4 linked regions of the Anolis sagrei genome follow. The protein of the gene in region 1 purifies or fractionates together with the protein of each later gene. This does not show direct contact. Links are inferred from orthologs where the notes say so. Each region holds a gene or a part of one and is shown on either strand. Other genes may lie near its edges.

Region 1 (8,042 bases):
TCAGAGGTGGTTTGCTCAGTTCCTTCCTCTGAAATGTTGCTGATTCTAAGTGAGCCTAATAATTGCATTTTCTCCAGTGGCGTAGCTACTTTCCTACTGTTACACCCCTTTGTACTTTCGTGCACAGAGAGATGCTCAATTACTAGGAACGTAACAGTATGAAAAGTGATCTTTCAGCACCTCCGAGACTAAGGGTGCATCTACACTACACTGTAAAATTAATGCAATTACACACCACTTTAACAGCCATAAATCAGTGCTATGGAATCACGGGGATTATAATTTGGCACTTGGACATGGAAGGCTAAAGATCTTGAAAAAAAGTACAGTCCCCCTTGATTCTACAGCATTTTACATGAATTCTACAGCATAGATCATATACCAGCTGTTAGGAGTTGAAGTCCAAAATGCCCTGAGGGCCCAAGTTTACCCATGGCTGGCATAGATGCATCCTGAATCAGTTTGGTAGCATAATGTAAACCAGTGTTATCCCTCAGATGCATAACACAACAGCAATCCTGCCTGGATCAAACCATAAGTCTCTCTGTGCCCCATATCTGCCAAACCACAGATGTCTCTGGGAAATCCACAAAAAAGAAGATATAGGCCCCTTCCACACAGCTGAATAAAATTCCACATTATCTGCTTTGAACAGGAATATATGGCAGTGTGGACTCAGATAATCCAGTTCAAAGCATATATTGTGGGATTTTCTGCCTTGATATTCTGGTTTATATGACTATGTGGAAGGGCCTATAGAGGAGGAGGCAATGAGGAGCGACAGATGTGCGAGCTGCAAACCCAGAAGAAATTGAGAGGTGTAGAGAAGAAGGTCAAACAGGCAACAGAAAATAAATTTCCCTTGTATAGATGGAGTATTCCTGATCTGAAATCCTTGGGGCCAGAAGTGTCATTGGGCCCTTCCACACAGCCATATAACCCAGAATATCAAGGTAGAATATCCCACAATATCTGCTTTGAACTGGGATATCTACCAAATAATCCAGTTCAAAGCAGAAAATGTGGGATTTTGTTCAGCTGAGTGCCAGGGGCCTGAGCCATATCAACAAGTTCACTGTGAATTTTATACAGCTGTGTGGAAGGGTAATTTTGACCTGAGATTTTGAAACACCTGCATATGTACACACGAGACAACACGCCCAAACACAAGGACCCGTTTACGTTTCGTAGGAAGGTAGTTTCATACACCGTATTCTTGGAACAACATTCTGCACATTAAGCCAAGCCCCCTTCCACACAGCTGAATAAAATCCCACATTAGACGTTGAGACACTCATGAGGGTGGCTCCCTGCACACAGGCTAGGAGGCCTTCCACAAAGCTACATAACCCAGAATATCAAGGCAGAAAATCCCACAATATCTGCTTTGAACCGGGTGATCTGAGTCCACACTCAGATAATGTGGGATTTCCTGCCTTGATATTGTGGGATATAGGGCTGTATGGAAGGGCCCCGAGTCCAGACTACCATATAATTCAGTTCAATGTAGATTTTATACAGCTGTGTGGAAGAGGCCCTAGGGCCCCTTCCACACAGTTCTATATCCCAGAATATCAAGGCTGAAAATCTCACATTATCTGTGTGGACTCCAATAACCCAATTCAAAGCAGATATTGTGGGATTTTCTGCCTTGATATTCTGGGATATAGGGCTGTGTGGAAGGGCCCACAGTCAGAATATCAAGACAGAAAATCCCACAATATTTGCTCTAGAACTGGGTTATCTGAGTTCACACTTATACAATCCAATTCAAAGCAGATAATGTGGGTTTTTATTCAGCTGTGTGGAAGGGGCTCTAGTTAAAAGCAGATATTGCGGGATTTTCTGCCTTGATATCCTGGGCTATATGGCTGTGTGGAAGGGCCCTCAGATAACCCAGTTCCAAATAGGCATTGTGGATTATCTGCCTTGATTTTCTGGGTTATATGGCTGTGTGGAAAGGCCCTCAGATAACCCAGTTCCAAATAGGTATTGTGGATTATCTGCCTTGATTTTCTGGGTTATATGGCTGTGTGGAAGGGCCCTCAGATAACCCAATTCCAACCAGATATTGCAAATTATCTGCCTTGATTTTCTGGGTTATATGGCTATGTGGAAGGTCCCTCAGATAACCCAATTCAAACTAGATGTTGTGGATTATCTACCTTGATATTCTGAGTTATATGGCTGTGTGGAAGGGACCTGAGATAACCCAGTTCCAAATAGATATTGGGGATTATCTGCCTTGATATTCTGAGTTATATGGCTGGGTGGAAGGGCCCTCAGTTAACCCAGTAACAAACAGATATTGTGCATTATCTGCCTTGATATTCTGAGTTATATGGCTGTGTGGAAGGGCCCTAAAATAACCCAGTTCCAAGCAGATATTGTGGATTATCTGCCTTGATATTCTGAGTTATATAGCTGTGTGGAAGGGCCTTCTAATAACCCAGATTCAAACATATATTGTGGATTATCTGCCTTGATATTCCGAGTTATATGGCTGTGTGGAAGGGCCTTCTAATAACCCAATTCAAACTAGATGTTGTGGATTATCTGCCTTGATATTCTGAGTTATATGGCTGTGTGGAAGGGCCCTAAAATAACCCAGTTCCAAGCAGATATTGTGGATTATCTGCCTTGATATTCTGGGTTGTATGGCTGTGTGGAAGGGCTCTCAGATAACCCAGTTCCAACCAGATATTGTGGATTATCTGCCTTGATATTCTGGGTTATATGGCTGTGCGGAAGGACCCTCAGATAACTCAGTTCCAAATAGACATTGTGGATTATCTGCCTTGATATTCTGGGTTATATGGCTGTGTGGAAGGCCCTCGTGGGTGTCTCCCCCTCTCATGGGGAGGGGGGAACCTTTCACCATCTGAAAAGTCAAGGTGTCACTCTCTCGGCCTCTCGTGGGGGCCATTTATAATCGGGAAGCTGGAGTTCCCCGGGGAAGGGGTCTTCCTCCGCAGTCGGGCGCCCCCACCGGCCGGCCTTCAACCAGAGGAGAGGAGAGGAGCCTCCGCCAGACCCCTCCTCCTCCTCCTCCTGGGCTTAGGCCCAACCGCGGTCTCCTCCTCCTCCTCCTGCTCTTCCTTCTCCCCCGAAGGGCTGCGAGGGGAGGCCACGGGAGGGGGGCGTCCCAGCCTCTTCCCTCCCTTCCCTCACCTGGTGCTTCTTCTGGGCTGCGGCTCCCGGGCCGGCTCGTGTGGGCGGCGGGCGGCTCAGTCCATCGGAGGCTCCGGGCAGGGCGGGCGGGGAGGGGTCCAGGGCGGGAGGGGAGGCGAGCGAGTGGCGGCGGCGGAGGCAGGCACAGGGCAAACACTAAAGAGAATGAGAGCGGGGCCAGCTCCGGCCGGGGGAGGAAGTGACGCAGGCGCGGCGGCGTAAGGGGCGGGGCCCTACTCCACTTGCTATTTATACAGACCAAGCATGGGCGAACTTGGGCCTTCCAGGTGTTTGGACTTCAACTACAACCAATCCTCACAGCCTCAGGCCCTTTCTTTTTCCCCCTCAGCCGCTTAGCAGTATGTGTGAAAAAGATCTTGGAGTCCTCGTGGACAACAAGTTAAACATGAGCCAACAATGTGATGTACCGGCAAAAAAAAAGCCAATGGGATTTTGGCCTGCATCAATAGGAGCATAGTGTCTGGATCTAGGGAAGTCATGCTACCCCTCTATTCTGCTTTGGTTAGGCCACACCTGGAATATTGTGTCCAATTCTGGGCACCACAATTCAAGAGAGATATTGACAAGCTGGAATGTGTCCAGAGGAGGGCGACTAAAATGATCAAGGGTCTGGAGAACAAGCCCTATGAGGAGCGGGTTAAGGAGCTGGGCATGTTTAGCCTGAGGAAGAGAAGGCTGAGAGGGGATATGATAGCCATGTATAAATATGTGAGAGGAAGCCACAGGGAGGAGGGAGCAAGCTTGTTTTCTGCTTCCTTGGAGACTAGGACGCGGAACAATGGTTTCAAACTACAGGAAAGGAGATTCCACCTGAACGTGAGGAAGAACTTCCTAACTGTAAGAGCCATTCAGCAGTGGAAATCTCTGCGCCGGAGTGTGGTAGAGGCTCCTTCTTTGGAGGTTTTTAAACAGAGGCTAGATGGCCATCTGTCAGGGGTGATTTGAATGCAACATTCCTGCTTCTTGGCAGGGGGTTGGACTGGATGGCCCACGAGGTCTCTTCCAACTCTATGATTCTATCAATAATAATAATAATATCTTTATTTATATCCAGCCCCTCTCCTGTAGGGGACTCTGAATGGCTTACGACAAGGCAAAGCCATACAAAATAACAATAACCACATAATACTTTAGAAATTAAGACAAATGATAAACAGAACAGAACATAATGAGAAATATAAATAATAATAATGGTCCCAGTGGTGATCAGCACACTGGGTGCAGTGCTGAAAGGCCTTGGCCTGTGCTTAAAAACAATCACCGCTGACAAAATTACCATCTTGTCAGCTGCAAAAGGCCACCCTACTCGGCTCTGCACACATTATTCGCCGATACCTCACACAGTCCTAGACACTTGAGGAGTGTCCAATGTGTGATTGAATACAAAAGCCAGCAGTTATGTTATTTGCTGTGTGCCAATCTTGTTGTGTATCAAATAACAACAATAATGAATCTTTAATTATATCCTGCTTTTCTCCCACAAAGGGAGCCAAAGTGGCTTCCAACATGTTAAAATACAATAAAGTACAAAACAAAATGATCAAAAAAGGCACGGAAATAATAATAATAATAATGATAATAATAATAATAATAATAATAATAATAATAATGTATTTGTAACCTGCCCTATCTCCCCAGCAGCTTCCAGAAAAGAAAAGAAAAAAACAGCAAACATTCAATGCCAAAGTGAGCAACAAAACAAATCAAAACAACACATAGATAACATCAATATAAACTTTAAAAATATCAAGCAAAAAGTGGGTGCCAGAAATAGTATCATACGAAAATTGACTGGCACAACCTGGGGGTCACAACCAGATACAGTGAAGACATCAGCCCTTGTGTTTTGCTACTCTGATGCTGAGTATGCATGCCCAGTGTGGAATACATCTCACTATGTTAAAACAGTGGATGTGGCTCTTAATGAGACATGCCGCATTATCACAGTATGCCTACATCTACCCCGCTGGAGAAATTATACTGTTTAGTCTGTATTACATCACCTGTCATCCGGTGGGAAGTAGCAGCCTGTAATGAAAGGACCAAGGCATTGACATCCTCTGTTCAAATATCAGGCAATAGGACAATGGTTCTCAACCTGTGGGTCCCCAGGTGTTTTGACCTACAACTCCCAGGAATCCCAGCCAGTTTACCAAAAAACATCTGGGGACCCCAGGTTGAGAACCACTGCAATAGGACAACATCATAAATCAAAAAAATATTTTTCTAAGATCTAGAGATACTCGCAGGAACATCTCAGCAAGCTAGAATCCAAAAGTGGCAGGCTAAAACTTGGAATCTCAATCAGTGGCCAATACCAAATGAGAAGATCCCTTCCACCCCCTGGGCACACAGGATACTGGGCGAGTTGGAAGGTGCTGAACTAACTGCATTTTGGTACGAGATAAGGAGCCAATCTTAAGAGATAGTGCTACCAAGTGGAGTTCACGACATGCGAATGTAGAGAAGGGCAAACCACAGACCACTTACTACAGTGGTTTTCAACCTATGGGTCCCCAGATGTTTTGGCCTTCAACTCCCAGAAATCCTAACAGCTGGTAAACTGGCTGGGATTTCTGGGAGTTGTAGGCCAATACACCTGGGGACCCACAGGTTGAAAACCACCGACTTACTACAATATGATCTGAGCCCTGCCACATGCACAATGGAGGACCTTGCCACAGCGATACCAAAGGCACTCGAAGTGGCCAGCTTCTAGTCAAAGGAAATGGGTTGTTGTAGGTTTTTCGGGCTATATGGCCATGTTCTAGAAGAATTCTCTTATTCTGACAAGCTGGAATGTGTCAAGAGGAGGGCGACTAAAATGATCAAGGGTCTGGAGAACAAGCCCTATGAGGAGCAGCTTAAGGAGCTGGGCATGTTTAGCCTGAAGAAGAGAAGGCTGAGAGGAGATATGATAGCTATGTATAAATATGTGAGAGGAAGCCACAGGGAGGAGGGAGCAAGCTTGTTTTCTGCTTTCTTGGAGACTAGGACGCGGAACAATGGCTTCAAACTACAAGAGAGGAGATTCCATCTGAACACGAGGAAGAACTTCCTGACTGTGAGAGCCGTTCAGTAGTGGAACTCTCTGCCCCGGAGTGTGGTGTTGGCTCCTTCTTTGGAAGCTTTTAAACAGAGGCTGGATGGCCATCTGTCAGGGGTGATTTGAATGCAATATTCCTGCTTCTTGGCAGGGGGTTGGACTGGATGGCCCACGAGGTCTCTTCCAACTCTTTGATTCTATGATGCTATGACGTTTGGCCTGCATCTATGGCAAGCATCCTCAGAGGTTGTGAGGTCCTCACAACCTCTGAGGATACTTACCATAGATGTGGGTGAAACGTCAGGAGAGAATGCTTCTAGAACATGGCCATATAGCCCCAAAAACCTACAACCTAGTGATTCCAGCCATGAAAGCTTTCAAAAATACATTGTAAATTTAGTATAATGCCAAGTTTTTAACTTTGTGGTTTCTTTATACATTACAACTGTATTCTCAATTAGCTTCTGCCATGATGAATAAATAAAATATCATTAATAACAACACTTAACATCATCATTAATATATATAAGCTTTCCCAATATGATCCCACTCCTATCTGCCCTCTCTCCTTCTCGCTCGCCGCTCTCAAAATAACTACGTTTCCCAGCAAGTTTGAAGTGCACTTCCCGGAAGTGACGCAACTCCTCAACTTCAGGGCTTATCGCCTGCCTCCACGCGGCAGCTCAGAATCCTACAACTCCCGGCATGCCTTGCAGGAGGTGGGATTTACAGCTCTGGAGCCAAGCGGAAGGGTGTGCTATTGCCAATCCGTCCTCGGATGCCGGTTCTTCTTGCTGTCAAGACTCAATCTAGAATGGATCCAAAGACCAGTGTTGTTCTTGTGTGGGCTGTACACAAGATACTGCACGCAATTATTATCCATATTGTTTGTGAAATTGTATATAAGGTGTATAAGGGGGCAGCTGCACCAGGCAGGGGCAAGCTTGGGCCCTCCAGGTGTTTTGGACTGCAACTCCCACCATTCCTTACCTCGCGAAGGCTGATCTGTCCGGAGTGATCCATGCCTTGGTCACCTCTAGATTGGACTACTGTAATGCGCTCTACGTGGGGCTGCCCTTGAAAACGGCTCAGAAATTCCAACTGGTCCAATGGGCAGCGGCCAGGATGTTAACTGGTGCTCCTTACAGAGAGAGGTCAACCCTCCTGTTTAAGGAACTCCACTGGCTGCCGTTTATTTTCCGAGCCCAGTTTAAGGTGCAGGTGCTTACCTACAAAGCCCTAAACGGTTTGGGGCCATCCTACCTGCATGACCGCATCTCCGTTTACGAACCCACGCACTCACTGCGCTCATCCGGAGAGGCCCTGCTCGTGATTCTGCCTGCGTTGCAGGCGTGTTTGATGGGGACGCGAGACAGGGCCTTTTCTATGGTGGCCCCCCGACTCTGGAACACCCTTACCAAAGATCTTAGACACGCCCCTACATTGGCAGTCTTTAGAAAGAACTTGAAGACCTGGCTGTTCCGATGTGCCTTCCCAGAATAGGAAAACTCCATAATAAGTCCCAAAAGCACTTTAGTAGGATTGAGATTGCTGAGCACTGCACACTGCACTTGCCCTATAATCCTTACATATCACCTGTCACATCAGCACTTTTAATTCTGTACCCATTACTCTGGCCCGGCCCAGTTTTATTGTGTCTTGGTGTATTGCTTATTGCTTGTTGTTTAATATTGCTTTAATTGTTTTAATTTGATTTCGGTTTTTGTATCATTATGTTGTGTTTTGAGGCCTTGGCCTTTGTAAGCCGCATCAAGTCCTTCGGGAGATGCTAGCGGGGTACAAA
Region 2 (7,851 bases), on another chromosome or scaffold:
TATTTTTTTACTGCTTTAATGATTGCTCTACTGTTTATGGATGTATTTTAATTTGATTTATGTCTAAGTGTAATTGTATAATTGTAATAGTTTGTGCTGGCATCGAATGTTTGCCATTACCTATGTGGAAACTGCTTTGAGTCCCCTTCGGGGTGAGAAAAGCGGTATACAAATATCGTAAACAAATATTGTAAATAAATATATAAATATAGAAAATAAAAAAAATCAAGGTGATCAATTGCAGCATCCAACAAACAGCATCAAACAGACAAGAGCTCTTTCTCCCACCGTGAGCACTGTTCTACACGTATATAAACCCCAGTAGGGTAGTTTCCAACACACCTCACAACCTCTGAGGATGCTTGCCATAGATGCAGGTGAAACATCAGGAGATAATGCTTCTAGATCAGTGTTTCTCAACCTTCCTAATGCCGCGACCCCTTAATACAGTTCCTCATGTTGTGGTGACCCCCAACCATAAAATTATTTTAGTTGCTACTTCGTAAGTGTAATGTTGCTACTGTTATGAATCATAACGTAAATATCTGATATGCAGGATGTATTTTCATTCTCTGGACCAAATTTGGCACAAATACCTGATACGGCCACATTAGAATACTGGTGGGTTTAGGGGGGATTGATTGATTTTGTCATTTGAGAGTTGTAGTTGCTGGGATTTATAGTTCACCTACCATCAAAGAGCATTCTGAACTCCACCAATGATTGAATTGTACTTGGCACACAGAACTCCCATGACCAACAGACAATACTGGAAAGATTTGGTGGGTATAGACCTTGAGTTTGGGAGTTGTATTTCACCTACATCCAAAGAACACAAACAATGATGGATCTGGACCAAATTTGGCACAGATGCTCAATATGCCCATATGTGAACACTAGTGGAGTTTGGGAAAAGTAAGCCTTGACATTTGGGAGTTGTAGTTGCAGGGATTTATAATTTATTTATTATTTATTTATTTCGGTTGCTTCTACCCCGCCCTTCTCACCCCGAAGGGGACTCAGGGCGGCTTACAAAAGCAAGGCACAATTCGATGCCCACATCACATAACAGCAATAAAACAAATAACATCAATTAACAATTAAACAACAATTCTTGCATTATAACCTTTAAACCAATACAAACCAATTTCTCCTCATTGACGGTCAGTGTTCGCTACCTCATAGTTCAATTTCCAATTCCACAATTGTCAGTCCTGTCAGTCCTATTCGTCTGGTTGTCCTTATCTAGTTGTCAGATTGCCCAAAGGCCTGGTCCTATAACCACGTCTTTACCTTCCTCCTGAAGGAGAGGAGGGATGTTGATGCCCTAATTTCCCCCGGGAGTGAGTTCCACAGGTGGGGGGCCACCACTAAGAAGGCCCTGCTCCTCGTCCCCACCAGCCTCACTTGGGATAGCGGTGGGGTCAAGAGCAGAGCTTCCCCAGATGATCTCAAATTCCGGGGTGGGACGTAGAGGGAGATACGTTCAGACAGATACACTGGACCGGAACCATACAGGGTTTTGTAGGGGAAAACCAGCACCTTGAATTGTGCTCGGAACTGAACCGGCAGCCAGTGGAGCTGAAACAGCAGGGGGGTGGTGTGCTCCCTGTATGTCGCTCCGGTGAGCAATCTGGCTGCCGCTCGCTGGACCAGTTGAAGTTTCTGAACAGTCTTCAAGGGCAATCTCACGTAGAGTGCGTTGCAGTAGTCTATTCAGGATGTAACAGGAGCGTGGACCACTTAAACCAAAGAGCATTCTGAACATCACCAACGATAGAATTGGGACAAACCTCCCACACAGAACCCTCAGAAAATACTATGTTTTCTCATGGTCTTTGGAGACCCCTCTGGGGGTCCCGACCCCCAGGTTGAGAACCACTGTTCTAGGTGGAGGCGAAACGTCAGGAGAGAATGCTTCTAGAACATGGCCATATAGCCCGACAAACCTACAATCCCGCCTTCTTGTTAATGCTTCCCGGTAAGGACTTTTTGAAGGAAGGAAGGAAGGGAGGGGGGGCGGCGTACCTTGTAGAAGGCCCCGTTGGAGCCGCGCACCTCGACCACGAGCTCCTCCATGTCGTCGTCGTCCTCTTCGGCGGCGGTGGAGGCGGAGGAAGCGGCGGCGGCGGAGAAGGAGGAGGAAGGGGGCCCGCCGCCGCCCCCTCCGCCCCCGCGGCCTAGCCGCCCCCCTGCCGCCGCCGTCGTGATGGCCGCCCCGCCGCCCTTCTTGGGCCCGGCCTCGGCGTCCCTCAGGTGGCGGCGGCGCAGCGCGGGACGGGGCGCGGGAGGCGGCGGCGGCTGCGGCGGAGGAAGCGGCGGCTCCTTCCTCTTGGCCTCCTCCTCGGCGCGGCTGGGCGTCGTGGTGGTCGCCGTGGCCCGCGGAGGCCCAGGGAGCGCGGCGGGAAAACGCGGCCGAGGCCTGGAAGGAGGGCGGAGAGAGGCTGGCGGGCGGCGGCGAGGAAGCAGGAGGAAGAGGAGGAGGAGGAGGCGGAGCGCCGCTGTGTCCACATGAAAGGCCTGGCGCCCTCACGTGAGGCGGCGGCGGCGGAGGAGAAGGCCGTAATGGCGGGCGAGCGGCGGTGGGCGGGGCCGGACAGCGCGCGCCTGCGCAGTCGCCGCAACAGCCGGGTCAACCCTGGTCGCTCACTCCCTCCCGCTCCCGCCTGGCGCTAAATCTCGCGAGAGTATACCCACAGTGTCTATATTCCTCCGCGTAATCTCGCGCGAATGGGTGACAGGATGAGGGGGGAGTCTACGCGCGTGCGCAGTCGCCCCAACAGACTAGTCTCTCGCTAACTCCCTCCCGTCTGGCTCTAAGTATCGCGAGAGCATACACAGTGTCTATCTTTCCTCGTCCTCTCCTCCCCGTAATCTCGCGCGAATAGGCGACAGAATGAGGGGGGGAGTTTACGCGCCTGCGCAGTCGCCCCAACAGATAAGTCTATCGCTATCTCCCTCCCGTCTGGCTCTAAGAATCGCGAGAGTATACACAGTGTCTATCCTTCTTCGTTCTCTCCTCCCCGTAATCTCGCGCGAATAGGTGACAGAATGAGTGGGGCAGTCTGACTACGCGCCTGCGCAGTCGCCGCAACAGATGGGTTAGCTCTGATCTCTCACGCCCTCCCGTTTGGCGCTAAGTATCGCGATAGTATACCCACAGTGTTCATACTCCCTGCCGTCCCTTCCGCGTAATCTCGCGCGAATAGGTGACAGAATGAAGGAGGGAGTCTACGCGCCTCCTTCTCGTTTGGCGCTAAGTCTCGCGAGAGTATACCCACAGCATCTATACTCTCTGCCCTCCGCTCGCGCGAATAGGCAACAGAATGAAAGGGGGGGGGAGTCTACGCGCCTGCGTAATCGCCCGAACTGACTGGTCTCTCGCTCACTACCTCCCTCCCGTCTGGCGGTAAATATCGCGAGAGTATACACAGTATCTATCCTTCCTCGTCCTCTCCTCCCCGTAATCTCGCGCGAATAGGTGACAGAATGAGTGGGGCAGTCTGAATACGCGCCTGCGCAGTAGCCGCAACAGACGGGTTAGCTCTGGTCTCTCCCTCCCGTAATCTCGCGCGAATAGGTGACAGAATGAAGTGGGGAGTCTACACGCCTACTTCCCGTCTGGCGCTAAGTCTCGCGAGAGTATACCCACAGCGTCTATACTCCCTGCCCTCCCCGCTCACTACCTCCCGTCTGGCTCTAAGTATCGCGAGAGTATACACAGTGTCTATCCTTTCTCGTCCTGTCCTCCTCGTAATCTCGCGCGAATAGGCGACAGAATGAGGGGGGGTCTACGCGCCTGCGCAGTCGCCCCAACCGACTGGTCTCTCGCTCACTACCGCCCTCCCGTCTGGCGCTATATATCGCGAGAGTTAAAACAGTCTATCCTTCCCCGTCCTCTCCTCCTCGTGATCTCGCGCGAAGAGGTGACAGAATGGAGGGAGTAGGGAATCGTGCGTCTGCGCAGTCAGGCTCACTCGCTCGGTACCGCGAGAGTATATTCACAGTATGTATACGCCCCTCCGCGTAATCTCGCGCGACGGGGTGACATAATAGGGGAGTCCGCCAGCCCGCGCCTGCGCAGTCGCTCTAAAAGCCGGGTCAACCCTGGTCACCCGCTCACACTCTCGCTCCCGTTGGCTCTAAGTATCGCGAGACACACACAGTGTATATACTCCGTCGCCTTCCCCTCCGCGTAATCTCGCGTGAAGAGGTGACAGAATCGGGGAGAATCCCTATGTTCGCTAAATAACGCGAGACTCTGTCGCCCAGGCATGGACTGCAGCCCAGCGCGGAGTGAGGCGCTTCCACCAAGTTCGAGGAGGAAGGAGCAGGCGCATGCGCACTGGTGGCCCTTTGAGTTTTAGTGTCTGCACAGGGCATGGTCCAACTTGAGCCTTCCAGGAGTGTTGAACTCCAACTCCCACCATTCCTAACAGCCTCAGGCCCCTTCATAGAATCATAGAATCAAAGCAGGAATTAGGGGTCTTTGCCAGGAGGCAGAAACCAATTAGACTCATCAAAGAGTTCTTTTTCCCTGGCGAGACAGAGAAGCACCCAATCCCTGATTTTTCCCAGTAAAAGGTCTCACCAAGTTGAAAGAAGTGCCACCGAGGTTTATTAGCGATTCAGCTGAAAAGGATGCAGAGCGGCAATCATTCGCCAAGCAGAGCATGTGGTTACAGAAGTAATGGCCATTTTTGTAGAAAACTAGCTGACCCTGCCACGCATTGCTGTGGCCCAGTTTGGTGATCTGGAAAATAAAGTAATGAGTCATTGGTTCTTTTGATTTCTAATATATGTAATGTCTTTCTGCTTGTGGGTAAACAGTATTTCTTCTTGTTTCTTTGTCAGTGTTGATGTGGAGATTGTCTGGTTTGCCTACTCTGGAACATGCAACATATTATTGTCCTTCTTTAGGGGTCCCTTTCACATCTGTCTTTCACCTGACTGCACAGACTGACGCACGATTCCCGACTCCCTCCATTCTGTCACCTCTTCGCACGAGATTACGAGGAGGAGAGGACGAGGAAGGATAGATACACTGTAAACTCTTGCGATATATAGCGCCAGACGGGAGGGAGGTAGTGAGCGAGAGACCAGTCAGTTGGGGCGACTGCGCAGGCGCGTAGACTCCCCCCCCTTCATTCTGTCGCCTATTCGCGCGAGATCTTTCACATCTATCTTTCACATCGTATCTCTGCCTATGAACCCACCAGGACTCTAAGATCTTCTGGGGAGGCCCTGCTCTCGATCCCGCCTGCATCGCAAGCACGGCTGGCGGGGATGAGGGACTGGGCCTTCTCTGTGGTGGCCCCTCGGCTGTGGAACACCCTTCCCATGGACATTAGATCAGCCCCTTCGTTAATGGTGTTTCGAAGAAAACTAAAAACCTGGCTGTTTGAACAGGCGTTCGGATAAACAATGCAATGAATATGATGAATATAGGAAACGGTATTATGGATGACGATTTGGATCACGATTCTAGTTACGAGACGCTAATGTGTTGTTATTGATGTGTCATTATTTGTATATTATGCTGTTAATGGTTTTTAAATATTGTATGTGTTGGATTGACTTTTTGCTCTTGTTGTGAACCGCGTTGAGTCGCCTACGGGCTGAGAAACTGCGGTATACAAGCAAAGTAAATAAATAAATCTACGATACTATATCTCTGTGTGTGTGAATCATATCTATCTATCTCTATCTATCTATGGCTGGTTGGTCTTTGTCAGGAGGACTTTGATTACGTTTTCTTGAGTTCTGTGTGCCAAATTTGGTTCGATTCCATCGTTGATGGAGTTCAGAATGCGCTTTCATTGTGGGTGAACTATAAATCCCAACACCTACAACTCCCAAATTACAAAATCATAATTTTTTGAGTGATGGTCACTCCTTATGTTGTGAGACCTTTTGTTGCCAAATTTGGAGTGAATTTGTTCATTGGTTCTTTTGTTTTTAAGGTACTCCTTATGCACAGAGCATTTATATATAGATAGATGCATCTATCCATATGTATGGGAGGATGGCTCTTTGTCAGGAGGACTGTGATTGCGTTATCTTGCCCTGGTGAAGGGAGTTGTAGTGGATGGGGTAAAGTTTTTTCTGTTGGTCATGAGGGTTCTGTGTGGGAAGTTTGCCCCCATTCTGTCGTTTGTGGGGTTCAGAATGCTCTTTGATTGTAGGTGAACACTGAATCCCTGGGACTACAACTCCCAAATGTTAAGGTGTATTTTCCCCAAAGTCTATCTGTTTTCATATTCGTGCCAAGTGTGGTCCAGATCCATCATTGCTGGAGTCCACAGTGTTCTCTGGATGTAGGTGTACTACAATTCCGAAACGAAAGGTCAATGCCCACCAAACCCTTCCAGTATTATCTGTTGCTCATGGGAGTTCAGTGTGCCAAGTGTGGTTGAAAAACGGTAAATCCCAGAACAGAGGAGTACATTGTTCTAAAAGTGAAAAAGCTTGGTTCAATTCATTCCTCCGGGACTGGACACAGAGGGTGGAGTGGCCAGGCCAAAGCTCTGAAAGCTCCTACCTTTGCTGTGGAGTTCCCCAGGGTGCTATCCTCTCGCCCCTGTTATTTAACATCTACATCTGACCACTTGCTGGACTGGTGCGGAGCTTTGGCATAGAGTGCTACCAGTATGCAGATGATACCCAGCTACTCTTGCGTCTCGAACCTGGAACAACTGCGATTCCTGAGAACTTTAAGCTGTGTTTGGAAGCAGTGATGAGTTGGCTACGAGCAAGCAGACTAAAAGTCAATCCTGCAAAAACTGAGATACTCTGGCCGGCCAGCCACCAGAATTAACCCAGTCTCTGCCTGATTTCGATGGGGAAGCTCTGGTTCCGTCTGCCACTGTTAAAAGCCTTGGGGTTGTGTTGGACTCATAGCTGACGATGGAGGCCCAGATCACTGCCATAAGTAAGCAGGGCTTTTTTCATCTTCGCCAGGCAAGGAAATTGGCATCCTACCTTTCGGTAGAAGCATTGACAACAGTAATCCACGCAACAGTCACCACGAGGTTGGACTATTGCAATGCCTTATATGCTGGCCTTCCGAAGTCAACGACCCAGAAGATTCGGATGGTCCAAAATGTGGCAGCCAGGCTGCTAGCAGGATCATCTATAAGATCTCATATTACACCGATTCTGCAACAACTGCATTGACTACCAATAGAACAACAGATCTCTTACAAGATACTGATCCTGACATTGAGAGCTCAAAATGGCCAAGGACCTTTATATCTTAGGGACCGCCTCATTCCTTTTCCCCATCAGTGGTCACCTCGATCCACCCAGGAAAATCTCTTCTACATACCGGGTCCTAGGGAGGCACATTTGGAAACTACAAGGCATAGAGCTTTTTCGATCAATGCTCCAATTCTGTGGAACTCATTGCCTTCATATATTAGAGCAATGTCGGAGTTGCGACCTTTTGCAAAGGCGCTCAAGACTTGGCTGTTTGGCTGTGCATTTAAGTAACCGGATCAAATTTTGCCATAGTCACTGCTGAATGTTTTTATGTTGAATTTTTTATGTTGAATTTTTTTATATGAATGTTTTTATATTTAATGTTTTTATATTTAATGTTTTATATTGTGGATAAACTGTTTTAAATTGTAAGTCGCTCGGAGCACCTTGGTAGAGAGCGACTAATTAAGAAATAAAATGATGATGATGATGATGATGATGATGATGATGATGATGATCTGTAGATTGCTGAGCTGACTATGAGCCAGAAGTAGCCAAATTATCTGAAGAAACAACGGGCAAGCAATTAAAGGACATAATGGAGGACTGGAACCTGAACTCCAGAAAATGTCCTCTATTTGGAAAAAACGA
Region 3 (8,214 bases), on another chromosome or scaffold:
AGTCAAGCAACTGAACCCAAACGTGATTCTCCCCAATGGTTCATCTTCTTCATCCTGGAAAGAAGTGACTATTTGGGTGCCATAAAGAAGGTTCTGTTCTGGGCCCAGTTCTGTTCAACATCTTTATTAATTACTTGGGATGAAGGTTTAGAGGGTAGGCTGATCAAGTTTGGAGATGGGACCAAATTGGGAGGGGGAGCTAATACTACAGAAAAAAGGATCAGGAAGCAAAAGTACCTTAACAGATTAGAAAGCGGATTGGCCAAAACTAACAAAATGCATTTCAACAAGGACAAATGTAGGCTACCACACTTAGGAAAAGATTCAGGATGGGTGATGCCTGGCTCAACAATAGTCCAGGTGAGAAAGATCTTGGAGTCTTCGTGGACAACAAGTTGAACATGAGACAAGAGTGTGATGCAGCAGCTCAAAAAGCCAATGGGATTTTGGGCTACATCCAAAGGAGTCTAGTGTCTAGATCGAGGGAAGTCATGGTGCCTTTGTATTCAGCTTTGGTCAGACCTCTTTACCTGGAATACTGTGTCCAATTCTGGGCACCACAGTTCAAAGCAGATACTGACTCTAAGCTGGAAGGTGTCCAGAGGAAGAGGGCGAGTAAAAGGATCAAAGGTCTGGAGACCATGAATAAACTCTTTGAGGGGCGTCTTAAAGAACTGGGTCTGTTTAGCCTGCAGAAGAAGAGAAGGTTGAGAGGAGATGTGAGAGCTATGTTTACATACATGAAGGGGTGTCATAGGAAAAAGGAGTAGGCCTGTTTTGAGACTGGGACTCAGAGCAATGGGTTCAAACGACAGGAAAGGAGATCCCACTTGAACATTAGGAAGAACTTCCTGACTGTAAGAAGAGCTGTTCAGCAGTGGAACTCTCTGCCTTGGAGTTCAGTGGAAGCTCCTTTCTTGGAGGCTTTTAAACAGAGCCATCTGTTTAAAAGCCATCTGTCAGGGATACTTGGTCACTGTAAATTATCTTGTATCTTAATGCTTTTTATTCATTAGATTTATACTTGTAAGTATGTCTGAAGTGTTATATTATGTATATTTCTTAATTTTGTAAAGTTCTTAATTTTGGTTATGTTTGGGTTGTCACTATAAGTTTATATTGATGTTGCCCGAGTCCCTAAGCCGCCCCGAGTCCCTTTTTGGAAGAAGATGGTGGCGGGATATAAATGAAGTTATTATTATTTGTTTTCAATTTGATTTGTTGCCTGTTTGTTTTTTTGGCATTGAATGTTGGCCAGCTTTGTTAGAAACCGCCCTGAGTCCCCTCAGACAGATAGGGCGGGTTACAAATGAAGTTATTATTATTATTATTATTATTATTATCACTTTGTGTGTTTCCTGCATGGCAAAATGGGGTTGGACTGGATGGCCCATGAGGTCTCTTCCAACTCTAGGATTCTATTTCTCTCTTTCCTTCTCTGGCCTTTCAACAGAGGCTGGGTGGCCATCTGTCGGGGCTGCTTTGATGGTGCTTTTCCTGCCTGGCAGAAGGGGGTTGGAATAGATGGCCCACGAGGACTCTTCCAACTCTACTATTCTAGGATTCTCTCTCTCTCCTTCTCTGGAGGCCTTTCAACAGAGGATGGGTGGCCATCTGTCGGGGCTGTTTTGATGGTGCTTATCCTGCATGGCAGGGGGTTGGACTAGATGGCCCATGGGGTCTTTTCCAACTCTATTATAATTCTATGATTCTCTGGCCACATAGCCCGGAAAACTCACAGCAAGCCAGTGATTCCGGCCATGAAAGTTTTGGACAACACATATGATTGCTGTCCTTTCTTCTTCTCTTTGCAGGGCGGGGGGGGGGGGGGGGCACAGGAAGAGCCAAAGGGGCGGAGCTTGGTGCTACCCCCCCTTCTGCTATCCACCCCCCTCCCTCCCTCCCTCCCTCCCTCCCTCCCTCCCTCCCTCCGCTGGGCCTACCTCCGGGAGGTCATTTTCCCCGCCAGCGTTGTCCTCCGAGGGGGGCCCGGGGGCCTCGCAGGGGGAAAGGCGACGCCCACGAGCCGGGCCAGCCGCGGGAGCCGAGCGGGAGCCAGCCACACACAGGCCAGCGGCGCTGCACCCGCCTCCGCGCGTCATCCCCCGGCGACGCCGCCTCAAGCCCCGCCCACCCCCACCCCCTCCCCCACCCCAACATCCGGGACACTCCCGCCAAACTCAGCCTCTGACTTCGTTGGTTAGGGGGAAAACAGACCCGTGTGCTTTATGTTCTCGTTGGTGTCAGAAGCGAATCGAGAATACAGTGATAATGTATTTAAAAACCACAGACAAAGTTAGAAACTTGGCATTGTCCCAAATGTCCTTTGACCAGGGGCTGCCCACTTGGAGTGCCTCTGGTGTCGCTGTGAGAAGGTCCTCCATTGTGTATGTGGCAGGGCTCAAGCTGCATTGTAGTAGATAGTCTGGATTTGCTCTCCTCCACACTCGCATGTCGTGGACTCCACTTTAGCCCCATTTCTTCAGCTTGGCTCTTATTGTTATATTTATTTACACCCCACTTTATCTCCCCAAAGGGGACTCAAAAGTGGCTTGACATAAAAGCATTGGTATCCAATTGCAAATATACAAACATTAAAACAGAATTAAACACAAACAGCTAAACATTAAAAAAACCAAGATTATGGCAACAAGAATGATTGACAACTGGAAAATAGAGGGAGAAAATGTGGAGGCCGTGACAGAGTTTGTATTCCTAGGCGCAAAGATTACTGCAGATGCAGACTGTGGCCAGGAAATCAGGAGACGCTTACTTCTTGGGAGGAGAGCAATGTCCAGTCTCGATAAAATAGTAAAGAGTAGAGACATCAGACTGGCAACAAAGATCCGCCTAGTCAAAGCCATGGTATTCCCTGTCGTAACCTACGGATGTGAGAGCTGGACCTTAGGGACGGCTGAGCGAAGGAAGATCGATGCTTTTGAGCTGTGGTGTTGGAGGAAAGTTCTGAGAGTGCCTTGGACTGTGAGAAGATCCAACCAGTCCATCCTCCAGGAAATAAAGCCCGGCTGCTCACTGGAGGGAAGGATACTAGAGACAAAGTTGAAGTACTTTGGCCACATCATGAGGAGACAGCAAAGCCTGGAGAAGACAATGATGCTGGGGAAAGTCGAAGGCAAAAGGAAGAGGGGCCGACCAAGGGCAAGATGGATGGATGGCATCCTTGAAGTGACTGGACTGACCTTGAAGGAGCTGGGGGTGGTGACGGCCGACAGGGAGCTCTGGCGTGGACTGGTCCATGAGGTCACGAAGAGTCGGAGACGACTGAACGAATGAACAACAAAAAAAACAAACAGCATTCAAAATTTCAGATCAAAACCATCAAAACATTCAAAGTTAAAAATCATTGCACTTCTTTAAGGTTCTTGATTGGTCTTGATAGGAAATGCCTGCATTTAATGTTTTTATAGCTCAATTGTGTCTCAAACTGGCAGTGAGATACAGAGTTTCATCTATGCTGACGATCGTGCCATCACCACTCAAGCAGGGAGCTTTGAAATGGTTGAACAGAAGCTCTCTGAAGCTCTAGGTGCTCTTACTGTCTATTACAGCGAAATCTGGCTGATTCCTAATCCATCCGAAACGCAGGCATGTGCTTTTCACCTTAAGAAATCCCACTAGAGCATTGCAGCACGCACAAATACCTGGGAGTTACCCTGGACCAAGCTCTGATTCAAAAGAAGCACTGCTTGACTATCAAGCAAAAAGTGGGCTCTAGAAATAATATCATAGGAAAGCTGACTGGCACAACCTGGGGATCACAACCAGACACAGTGAAGACATCTGCCTTTGCAATTCGCTACTCTGCTGCTGAATACGCATGCTCAGCGTGGAATAAATCTCATCACATTAAAACAGTAGATGTGGCACTGGAGAAATTATACTGCTTAGCTGGTGTTGCACCACCTGACATCTGTCGGGAAGTAGCAGCCATTAATGAAAGGACATCTCTGGCCTGTCCTCTGTTCAGACATCAGCCAGCAAGCCAACACCTTATATCAAGAAACAGCTTCCTAAGATCTACTCACAGGAATACCTCAGCAAGCAATAGTCCAAAAGTGGCAGGCTAAAACCTGCAACTTGAATCATTGGTTGAGACTGGGTGAGAGACTCCCTCCTGGGCACATAGAAAACTAGACGACTTGGAAAGTGCTGAACAGGCTGCGCTCTGGCACTACGAGATGCAGCAACAATCTTAAGAAACGGGGCCACAAAGTGGAACCCACAACATGCGAGTGCGGAGGAGAACAAACCACACTGACTATAATGCAGTCTAAGGGCCCTTCCAGGCAGGCCCTATATCCCAGGATCTGATCCCAGGTTTTCTGTTTATCCCAAATGATCTGGCAGTTCGGACTCACGTAATCCGATTTAAGGCAGAAAACCTGGGTTGAGATCCTGGGATATAGGGCCTATCTGGAAGGGCACTTTGTCTGTAGTATTTTACACATTATAAGTGTATTCTCAATTAGCTTCTGACACCTTTAATAACATCAATCGGCTATCGTCCAGAGCGCCATCTGTCGGACGTTCGAGGCTTTCCGGCCAGCGCGCTGACGTCACGTCACTTACTCCCTTTAGTGCCGAGTTCCCGGATGTTGCCTCCTTTTTTGCTCCATCTCGGAAGGTAAGGATGGCGGCGGCGCGGCTCTTCTCCGTTGAATCTCGGTGTTGTTATCCGCGGCCATCCTCCACACAGGAGCGCCGCCCGGGAGGCGGGGAGGCACCGAGAGCTTCGGGGATGTCTAGCGGGAGGCGAGGGGTTGCTATTTTGGGAGTGGAGAGCGGGAAGGCGTCGCCCTGCAGGATAGGCCGCGCTCGGAGCCATTGAGTTTGTCTTTTTAGGGACAGTTTTGCCTTACGGCAGGCATGGTCAAACATGGGCCCATGCCTGCTTTACGGGGTAAACCTGCATTTGAACCTCATCTCTTGCAAAGCTTCCATTTGAACTTCTATATGATAGGCCTGCATTATTTTCGTGTCTTTTAGCCTTAGGCCTGTGTCTTGGAATCCTATATATCTTAGGTGGATGTATCTTCAGATACATGATGCTGGTCATTGACCATGCTTGTAAGCTGCCTGTAGAATCCCATGCAGTTGATCTGCTCAAGCTCCATGCAGGGCAATGGTGGGAGTTGTAGTTTGGGGAGCTGCCAGCCCTTGAAGCCCTGGCCAAGCTACAACTCCCAGCCTTCCCTAGCATTGCACATATAGATGTATATGTAGATTTTATATATGTGTGTGTGTGTGTGTGTGTATATATATATATATAAAATAAAATGTATCATGTAATATGTAATATATATTACATGTAATACACATTCTACATTGTAACATATATGTATATAACATATGTAGATATATAACATATATAATAAATAATACTTTATACAATGCAATGTTACATGTGTATGTAATATATGTAGGTGTGTGTGTATATATTATGTAGCCGCTTTACCTCTCCTTGGAGAGAGAAATAGGGTATAGATAAATACACATATATTTGTATTGCATTGTATATGTTATATTTTTATATACCAGGTCCATGATGTCAGAGATTTGGCTGCAGAAAGAGCCAGACTGGCCCATGGAGTTGGTTGTGCAATGTGGGACCAAGGTTGAAGGGTAACTTTGGGCCAGGCTGCTTTGAATTTTGGACTAAACGTTGCTGTCTTTTGGAGACAGGATACTGATTGTTTACTGCCTGGAGTCCTTAAATGGGGAGAAAAGCAGGATTAAAATGCAATACATCGATATTGAATGGGGCTTATGGAAAATTTTGATTGTACTTTGTTTAGATTTGGCTTCCAACTCCAGCTAAATAAAGACATCTACATTTTGGGGACAAAAAAACCCCCAAGTGCTTCTGGCTCAAGCATTTTGGGAAAGGGGCATTTAAGATGTACTACTTTGAATACATAGGACTAATATTTTCCAAGATAAGGATGCTAGGTTGAACTCTCTAGCATAGATATTTGCAATATACACATTTCCCCCTGCCTCAAACTGACTTGAAGCCTTCAGTCCACAATTGTGTAAGTTCAAAAATGCTTCCCAGGCTGGATCTATGCTGCCCTATATATATTCCAGGATATGATCCCAGGTTATTTGGCAGTGTAGACTCATGATCCATTTGAAAGCAGATAATCTGGGATTGGATGCTGTAGGGCAATGGGGGGAGGGGAGGGGCAGTCCATCCATAGTCACTTTGGGTTTTGTCCCTGTGCATCATTGCGAATTATGTCCTTTAGAAAGTTTCTATGATCAAATCTTCAGCTGTCAGCGATTCTATCTTTTTCCAATATTGTGCATATATACCATTCTTGCTCCAGTTGATGTGTACTGTAATGTTTGGTCACATCTGTATCCAAATTCCCAAATGGTCTTGCTTGAGAGCAGGGGTTAAATGCCATCGGGACATTGTCTTGTACACATTTTCTTTGGGATCTTGATAGAAGATTTCTTTGAGGTCCCTTCCACACAGCCATATAACCCAGAATTTCAAGGCATATAATCCGAGGTTTTATTCAGCTGTGTGGAAGGGGCCTGAGTCCCGACTAACGTGACGGATTGGTCATTGTTTCTGGTGGCCCTCTCTCACTCCCTCTTTGTCCCTCCTTTCTTCCTTGCATTATACAAGTGACTAACATTTTATGATTTACTCAGATGGCAGGCGAGAAGAAAACCAAGCGAGTCCGGAAAGTCCACACCAGCCGCAACCCAGTGCTGGCCCGAGGGATCGGGAAGTACTCCCGCTCGGCCATGTACGCCCGGAAAGCCATGTACAAACGCAAATACAAAGCTCCGGAAACAAAGGTAGAAGAGATGCGGATGTTAAAGCTCTCTGCAGCAGTGCTTCTTTCATGGCCCTGTTTACTTGAGTCAAACACTTGCCTTTTGGGGCGAAATAACCTTGCCAAAATGAGGGTGCGCATGAGATTTGTGCCATATGGTCCTCTTACTGCTGAGCCAAAGACAAAAGGGAAACTGCTTCAGGAGCATCACCCAGAGATCCTTGCCTCTAGCTTAATTGTCATGGCGTAGCCTGGGATTTGTAGTTTGGTGAGGTACCAGCATTCTTTGGAAAGAAGGCCAAAGTACACCCCCATTACTCCTTAGCACTGAAGCAAGGCAACTAAGGTGGATTCATTCTACAGCAGTGTTTCACAACCTGGGGGCCGGGACCCCTGGGGCGGTTGTGAAGGGGGTGTCAAAGTGGTTGCCAAAGACCATCAGAAAGCACAGTATTTTCTGTTGGTCATGGGGGTTCTTTGTGGAAAGTTTGGCCCAATTCGATCGTTGGTGGGGTTCAGAATGCTCTTTGATTGTAGGTGAACTATACATCCCAGCAACTACAACTCTTAAATGTCAAGGTTAATTTTCCCCAACCTCCACCAATGTTCACATTTGGGCATATTGAGTATTTGTGCGAACTTTGGTCCAGCTCTATCATTGTTTGAGTCCACAGTGTTCTCTGGAGATTGGTGAACTACAACTCCAAAGCTCAAGGTCAATGCCCACCAAACCCTTCCAGTATTTTCTGTTGGTCATGGGAGTTCTGTGTGCCAAGTTTGGTTCAATTCCATTGTTGGTGGAGTTCAGAATGCTCTTTGGTTGTAGATGAACTATAAATCCCAGCAATTACAACTCCCAAATGACAAAATCAACTCCCCCCAACCCAACTAGTATTCAAATTTGGGCGAAGCAGGTATTTGTGCCAAATTTGGTCCAGTAAATGAAAATACATCCTGCATTTCAGATATTTACATTACGATTCATAACAGTAGCAAAATTACAATTATGAAGTAGCAACAAAAATAATTTTATGGTTGGTGGTTACCGCAACATGAGGAACTGTATTAAGGGGTTGGGGCATCAGGAAGGTTGAGAAGTACTGTTCTACAGCATAGCTGCACCCCAAGCTTTTCCTTTCCATCACTGGGAGCTATGATGTGTTCTCACACTTTTGTTCTGAAAGAAGGAATTCTAAACAGGTAGCAACTGTAAGGGTGAAATTACAAAGAGGGGACTTTTTGCCGCTGTGCATTCAACAGCAAAAACATTTTGGTTTCAGGGTTTTGAAAATTGATGTGTGCATTACACTTGAGTAAATACAGTATTTGATGTGAAGGAACAAGGGTTTTTTCCCCCCAGTGTGATGAGGATTGGCACTGCATTGATATTAAGCAATGATGA
Region 4 (7,734 bases), on another chromosome or scaffold:
CATTTGGAAAATGCCAAACTGAATGAATGACCAATTTAAAAAACTAAACCCCTATGAAGGACCCACTAAAAGTAGCCACTAGAGGGCAACCCTGACAAACAAACATGTCGTGCTTGGAAAGCCCCTTGGTTTCTTTAAAAACTAATCATTTATATAAATTAACACTAGCAGTGAATTAAATACTACCTTCCCAACATTGATGACAAATTAATTGCACATTAATAAGTTGTCATATATACACTGACTTTCATAGAAAGACTTTGAGTTCATGCTGACCTTAATTTTTTCTGGACGTCCAAACTCAAGCAGTTGAAAGTTATTCGGGGGTGAAATATCCTTGTGAATTTCTGCCACCATATCATTTAAAATATATAATGACCAATTTGTACCTGCAACATAAAGGCAAATGAGTTCCATATGGCTTCCAAAAACATAAGACACACAGAGACAAGAGTACAGTCAGTGTGCCAACGTCTGTGCTAAATTATTGATATTAAAATAACTAGACTTTAATAATTTTAACAATCATTTAGCATTTTGCAGATTAGCAAAGAACAGTCTTGGGATGACATTCTCCCTCCTCATACTTTGTGTATCTAGTTTTTCCCCCTTAGGTGAGGTAAACCATTGTTTGCCATTTTATCCTTTCCCAGGATTGCAAATTCTGATGGATGAAATGACGAATTCTTAAAGCAAAAATCACTGGGCTGCATTTATAGCAGATAAGAAGACCACGAAGCAATTGAGGATATGATCCTGAGGCCACTTTTCTTTTGGCTTTATGCCTGAACTCTCTCTGAAGCTCTGAAATGCACAGCATTTGTTTGAAGTGGAGGTATTGTTTACAAGAGAAGCTATTGTTTGTATAAGAGCCAGTGTAAAAAAGCAATATTGATCAAAACAGATTTCAGAAAATACTACACTGCCGGAAAAAAGGTTCCACCTTAACTTTAGGAAGAACTGGAGGTACTGTTTGCAAGAGAAGCTATTGTTTGTATAGGAGCCAGTGTTAAAAAACATGTATTGATCAAAACAGATTTCACAAAATTCTACACTGCAGGAAAAAAGGTTCCACCTAAACATTAGGAAGAACTTCCTGACAGTAAGAGCTGTTTGCCACAGTGGAACATGCTGCCTGGGAGTGTGCTGGAGTCTCTGCCTCTGGAAGTTTTACAGCAAATACTGAATGGCCATCAATCGGGGGTGCTTTGATTCTGCATTCCTTCCTGACAGAATGGGGTTGGACTGGATGACTCTGGTGTCTTCCAACTCTATGATTTTAAGAGGTTTGAGGTTAGCAGCCCATGACCAGTTACTTGAACATGGAGCAAGAAGGTGTGTATTGCTTAGTTAGTTACATAACCTGGGGATGATCAGTGGGATGTGGAGAAGGATTAGAAAGATACAAAATGGGCTACTACAGACATCTGACAAGCATAACTTTGCTTGTAGATGTAAACATGGATTCTGGCAACCCAGCCTGAATGTCTAACTACTGATGATATCACATTAGAGCAGTGGTTCTCAACCTGTGGGTTCCCAGGTGTTTTGACCTACAACTCCCAGAAATCTCAGCCAGTTTACCAGCTGTGAGGATTTCTGGGAGTTGAAGGCCAAAACATCTGGGGACACACAAGTTGAGAACCACTGCATTAGAGACTTCTAAATTGCAGGCCTGTGTTTCCCTATTGCCTGGTTTGCTTCTGCAGAATTCTGGGAAGCCAAGGACCTCTAGCTCAGAATTTCAAAGGCTCCGCTCTAAACTATATTCCCTAGAATTCTGCAGGAGCAAACTGGTTCAGAGGGAAACACGGACCTAATCTGTAGAGCTCTAATGTGATCTTGTCCTTGGTAACAGAAAGCAACATTGTACAGTTGTCTCTCTACATTTGTGGGTTTTACATTTGTGGATCTGATTACCGTATTTCACCATTACCGTATTTCACACGTTTTTATCCCTTTTTGGATTAAAAAAGGGAGATACAACTATTATACAGCGGAGGAAAAAATCCAGCATTAGAGCCTCTCTTGGCCAGTAGTCGAGTGAAGTCCCATAGGCAGTTACATCCTGAGCAAGTGAACTAAGAGCATGACTATTATGCAGAGAATACTAAAATTCCCATTTTGCCACCCTGAACATGGGGGTGCAACTAAGATGCAAAGGCAACTGTTATGTGATTATATGCAGGAATTTGTATATTAGATTAATATGTTCTTTCTAGGTATCTCATACTTCCAGTATGTCTGTATGGCAAATTTGGCCACAGAGTTGCACTAGAGGAATAAGACATTTCTAAAGAGATGTTCTCTCAGTTAAAAAGTAATGCATTTTTAATTCAGTTTTTCCACCTTTGCACCTCTAAGCCCAGAAAATGTAGAAGACTGACTATACTTCCAACTGAGCAGGAAAGAGATGGCACCTGCCATCAAATAATAATCAGCAGGTCAGGTATTAATTTCCTCTTAAAAGACTACTCACCACATTTAGGATAAGCCACTATCAAGACATCATCCTTTCTGGCTTCCATGGTTTCAAGAGCTTCAAAAGTCTCAACTTTACAAAGCCGACTAGGATACAGGACTCCTTTGTACGAAAATAGCAGGTCATCATCGTTATCCTTGTCATCCTCTAAGAACTTCTCTACAAATTCTGCAAAGCCACTTTTTTCCTTTGCCATCCTTTCTTCTCACTGGTGTCTTATTCAGATCCCTTCTAAAGAGGAGATTCAGTTCGGTGCTCTTGGACACTCTTTATTGCTCAGCAAAGGATATTTCACAGAAGAACAAAGTCCGGAATTACATAAGCTCACACCCTGGATTCCAGTTCAGACTGGCTATTAAGACTATCTGGCTTTATTTGTTTCTATAGCAAAGTATTGCTTAATATTTTGCTGGCTGAATAAAGTTATTTTTTGGGAGGAGATATTACTCCTGAAACATGATTGGAACACCAGGGGCTCCAGAGGGTGAAGTAAATAGGCTAACTGAAACCAAGTGGATGAAATAAAGAGATCTCTGCCCCTTTAAGGGATGACTATGATGCTGACACTTTCCTCAGTTTGGCAATGTTAGGCACTTCTGTAACAGGATCTTTCTAATCTTTGTCAGTTACGAGAAGTCTTCTTTATGTGTTCCAGTACTGAACCAAAAGAATTTAAAATACAGTTAAGATATGCAATAAGATTAGACTTCCTAAAGCATAACATGGTTCTGTTACTGGCATACTTTGGCAAGCATTTCACATAAATTGCCTTTAAAAATATTTTTGCATTGTGTTCTAAAGTTCAGCACATCTCCCTGGGGAATTTGTTTAACTTTGTTCTACAATTTTGAGCCCAGAAGATTAGAGTTTCACACCCAGCATTCCTGTAACCTTTTGGGCTGCACAGTTTGAGAACTTCTGCTTTGGACCATCTTGGAGTCTGCCAGGGCTAAGAGAGTCAATACCTTCTGTTTGGAGAAGAGCAGCAGATTTGGCTACTGTTGCTTGTCCCTCTGCTTGGTGGTCTTCAAGTTAACATCTGCCTGGCTAATAAAAGTTAACATTTGCCTTTATCCTCTGGTGGCCTGCCCTGTGCAGGAAGGATGTGTTTTTCTAAGGAGCGAGAAAGTCCCTAGATTCGTGGGGTCAAACAGAGCAGGAGAAGATGCGGAAGGGGGAAACAGGTTCAACACAAACAAAAGAGGGAGCGAAATAGAATGCATACTACTTCCAAATTGTCTCCTATATTTAATAACCTGGATAACTAAAGGAGGCCGATACCCATAGTAGATTTGCTTTGGTAACATAATAAGAAGAAGTGTACCCCTCCCAGTAGAGAAGGAGCAACACATCAATGGCAGGGTGGAAATGTGTGCTCTGCAATAGAAAAGCTAAGTGTAAAGATAAGGCTTGCTGAACAGAGTTGAGACTTGGGCTGGGCTGAAATTTGCCCCAGAAAACATGTGCAGTAGAATCTTGATAGATAAGAAAAACCTATATAATGTGTGGTCAAGGGGTGTGGTACACGGCAACCTTTTTTAAAGTACTGTGACCTGCATGTGCAGTACGGCTGACCCGTCTCCTTATGGCCATACTGGAATAAACCTTGCTTTTGCTCTTCTCCTGAGCCTAGACATTTTTGTCTGTTTGCCTCCTGTGATTGGATCTTCAACAGGAGCTCAGATTTGGGGTCCCTTACATAAGCAGGGTGACTGTCCCCCTAGGTTGAAAATGCTGCTGCTAAATGCCAGGTCAGTCAATGGGAAAATAATGCCATCCAAGGCGTTCAGGCCTAGCTATAAAACAGAGACAGCATTGGTCGCCTTGGTGGATGACCTACAAAGAGAGCTAGACAGGTGGAGTGTGTCCCTGTTGGTTCTCCTGGACCTTTCAGCTGCTTTTGATACATTGACCATGATACCCTTCTGGGTCCTCTCTATGGGCCGGGGCTGGTTTTACAGTGGCTCCGGTCCTTCCTGGAGTGCCATACCCAAAAGGTGGTCCTGGCCGCTGTGCTGTGGGGTTCCTCATTGTTCCATTTTGTCCTTCATGCTGTTCAACATTGTAGAGAAATGTTTATTATAGAGTGTTTATTATACTGTATTTAAACTGTATTTAGGTTTTACATTAGTTGCTATGGCCTAACTGTGAGGGATAGGTTGCCATGGTAACACAGCCTCAGAGGAGGTGGGCGGAGTTTAAGGAATAAAAGGTTTGAAAGCGTCAGTTAATATTCAGTCCGGTGGATGAGACCCGGGGAAGAGGTTCAGAGTGTTGTGAAGCTGTGAGAATTCAGTAGTTCTTAGAATTTGTGAATATTTCTTCAGCAAGAGAGCTGAAGGTGTTACCTTGTTAGATTGCTTAGGTTAAAGAATCTAACAGAGGGGGTTTAAAGGATCGCCAGTAAGGAAAGACTGGTGATCAGTGGTTTGTTCCGAGTATAGGGCAAACAGTGTGGATATTCACAATAGGGAACTCTGAAGTAGTATAAGCACTTCACTAAAGAAGGAGTTTGTAGAATTGTAACATCAGAAGCCTGTATGTATCTCAAACCAGCCATTTTGTAACATCAAGCCTTGTGCCAAGTTCAAATTCTCAAAACTGCAACAATTACGTTCTGTTGACAATAAAACTTGTTCTCTTTGTATTTCAAACCTGCCTCCTCCATTGCTTTTATGCTTGGTGCATTCCACACTACCAAAGTCACCTCACAACACAACTAAAGATAAACAGAGACATAAACCAGCGTCTCTAAACATATTGGTGGCAGTTTAATTGATATCTAAAAGAAGGTTCCTCACAGAATATTGGTGGCATTAAAGAAGATTAATGCTTCCTCACATAATTTTTGTTGACAAGCGGTGGCATTAACGCTTCTTCACATAATTTTGTTGACAAGCGGTGGGATTAACGCTTCCTCACAAACATATACATGAAATTGCTGGGAGATGTCATCCGGGGTTTTGAAGTATGGTGCCACCTATATGCAGATGACGCCCAACTCTACTACTCCTTTCCACCTAAAGCCAAGGAAGCTGTCCTGACCCTAAACCAGTGTCTGTCATCAGTAATGGACTGGATGAGGGCAAACAAACTGAAACTTAATCCAGACAAGACAGAGGTGCTTTTTGTCAGTTGGAAGGTAGACCAGGGAATAGAGATCCAGCCTGTGCTGGATGGGGTCTCACTCCCCCTGAAGACACAGGTCTGCAGTTTGGGGATACTTCTGGACTCAAAACTGGAACTGGAGCCCCAGGTTTTTGTGTTGACCAAAATTACAACTTGTGCACCAACTGTGCCCATTCCTTGAGAAGCCAAGGTGTGGTACATGCTTTAGTTTTATCCCGTCTGGATTACTGTAACGTGCTCTATGTGAGGCTCGGAAACTTCAGCTAGTCCAAACAACTGCAGCCAGGGTGCTAACTGGGAATGGCTGCAGGGAGTAGACAAACCCCCCTCCCCATTGCAGCAGTTCCACTGGCTGCCAGTCTGTTACTGGGCACAATTCAAAGTACTGGTTGTGACCTTTAAAGCCCTAGACAGTTCAGGTCCAGGCTATTTGACTGACTGCATTCCCTTGTATGAACCTGCCCAGGCCCAGGGATCTTCAAGCAAGGCCCTTCTCTTGGCCCCACCACCATCTCCAACTTGGTTGGTGGGAATGAGAGAGAAGGCCTTCTTGGTGGCTGCCCCTCGACTCTGGAACTCCCCTCTTCCTAGGGAAGTCAGACTAGCCTCCTCCCTGCTGTCTTTCCGGCGGCAGGCTAAAACCTTTTTAGTCAAACTGGCATTTGAAGATGAAGTCAGAGGATGCTATGATGTTTAACTTGGAATATGTTTGATGGGTTTTAATTAATTTTTCAAAATACTGTTTGTGTTTAATTCTGTTTTAATGTTTCTATATTTGTATATAATAATAATAATAATAATAATAATAATAATAATAATTCCTAAAATAAAATTAATCTTGTCAGGAGTTATAAGACTGCATTGCTGCAGGAGATGCAATCCATATACTGATAAATTATTTAACTGTTGTAATCTTGTTGTCAAAGGTGTAAATGTAGACCACACCTTAGCAATACAAACCTACACATCTACTCAGAGATAAATGCTCTGATTTAAACAGGATTTATACCTTGGTGGGAGGAAAAAGGATTGCAGCCCTGGGTGGCAAGAGCATGAAACTGGAAGGAAAAATACATCTAAGTAATGCAGGGTTTTTCTGCTACACTTGATGATCTGCTCAGAGCTTATGTAAGTTGCCTTTTGGACCACAACTCCCAGAATCCTCCAGTAACTACAATTTTGGCTTCATTGTCTGGATATTCTAGGCCTTGTTGTACAAAACGAAACTCAACTAAATTTGACCATCTACTCCAACCAGTTAGCGATAAGCAATAAGAAGATCTGCAACCACTTTTCTGATAACAGCTTGTCAGGTGCCTTATCCACACTCAGTAGAAAATAAAACAGAAGACCACAGGTGCTTTATATTAGACATTCTGTGTAATGTAGTTCTGAGATTACATAATTCTAAGAGCCCCACTGAGGAATTTCCTGGAACATCCAGGATAGGCCAGGTCCTGGACAAAGGTGGTAATCATGATCCATTGTGTCTGTGTACAGAACAAGTAGTTTCCTCTGCAACATCTGATAACTGCTGATCAGTACTCACTTCAGTTGAACTGACAGTGGAAAGGGGAAGTCACACATATTGGATCCCTTTATTTGACACCCAAAGCCTGAATGAAGATCATCACCTTTTGTCCCAAGGCTCCTCGCTGTCACCTTCCCCAGGAAACTTCCTCATCGCCCAATATCAGAACAATTAAACCAATCAAGGACTCATTTACATCTTCCAATATGGACATGGACTTTTTGGGGCTCCCCTCCTCCTAGGAGAACCACCTCTCAACAGCTGATTGGCCCTCCTCAAGCCAATCCCCCTCCATCTCCTCCCCTTTGCCAGGGAATCCCTGCCTGGAGGTGTCAAAGATATCGGAACACCAGCCAGTTGGTGTGCAGATCCAATAAATATAGGACAAGTGATCTAAAAATGATTTAAAATTTGACCCCCTGACTTAAAAATAAGGAAGCAACAAATTGAGAAAGTTTATTGGTTTTCTATATAGTACTTGATTTCTTTTCTCATGTAGAAAAGGTGTCATTAACATATTTAAGGCATTTTAAAAAAATTCTGCTCATTCCTTTTTTTAAATTATAAATTTTGTTTGATATATCTCAAAAAT

Evidence for each region.
Region 2: the proteins of STAU1 (region 1) and FMR1 purify together in Homo sapiens (affinity purification with western blotting; 3 studies listed by BioGRID and IntAct, with this or other methods). This does not show direct contact. The link is inferred for Anolis sagrei from reciprocal best matches to the Homo sapiens genes STAU1 and FMR1.
Region 3: the proteins of STAU1 (region 1) and RPL6 purify together in Homo sapiens (affinity purification with mass spectrometry; 4 studies listed by BioGRID and IntAct, with this or other methods). This does not show direct contact. The link is inferred for Anolis sagrei from reciprocal best matches to the Homo sapiens genes STAU1 and RPL6.
Region 4: the proteins of STAU1 (region 1) and EIF2AK2 purify together in Homo sapiens (affinity purification with mass spectrometry; 4 studies listed by BioGRID and IntAct, with this or other methods). This does not show direct contact. The link is inferred for Anolis sagrei from reciprocal best matches to the Homo sapiens genes STAU1 and EIF2AK2.

The regions. Positions count from the first base shown.
Region 1 is NC_090024.1:220,680,326-220,688,367, reverse strand, and holds the start of STAU1 (double-stranded RNA-binding protein Staufen homolog 1), read right to left. Parts: upstream 3,350-8,042; 5' UTR 3,172-3,349; intron 1-3,171. UniProt on the Homo sapiens protein: Binds double-stranded RNA (regardless of the sequence) and tubulin.
Region 2 is NC_090030.1:30,073,631-30,081,481, reverse strand, and holds the start of FMR1 (fragile X messenger ribonucleoprotein 1), read right to left. Parts: upstream 3,126-7,851; 5' UTR 2,080-3,125; coding exon 2,029-2,079; intron 1-2,028.
Region 3 is NC_090034.1:30,300,910-30,309,123, forward strand, and holds the start of RPL6 (large ribosomal subunit protein eL6), read left to right. Parts: upstream 1-4,882; 5' UTR 4,883-4,897; coding exon 4,898-4,921; intron 4,922-6,684; coding exon 6,685-6,834; intron 6,835-8,214. Other genes in the region: PTPN11 (tyrosine-protein phosphatase non-receptor type 11), read right to left, coding at 1,944-1,957.
Region 4 is NC_090021.1:51,152,573-51,160,306, reverse strand, and holds the start of EIF2AK2 (interferon-induced, double-stranded RNA-activated protein kinase), read right to left. Parts: upstream 3,156-7,734; 5' UTR 2,679-3,155; coding exon 2,480-2,678; intron 390-2,479; coding exon 277-389; intron 1-276.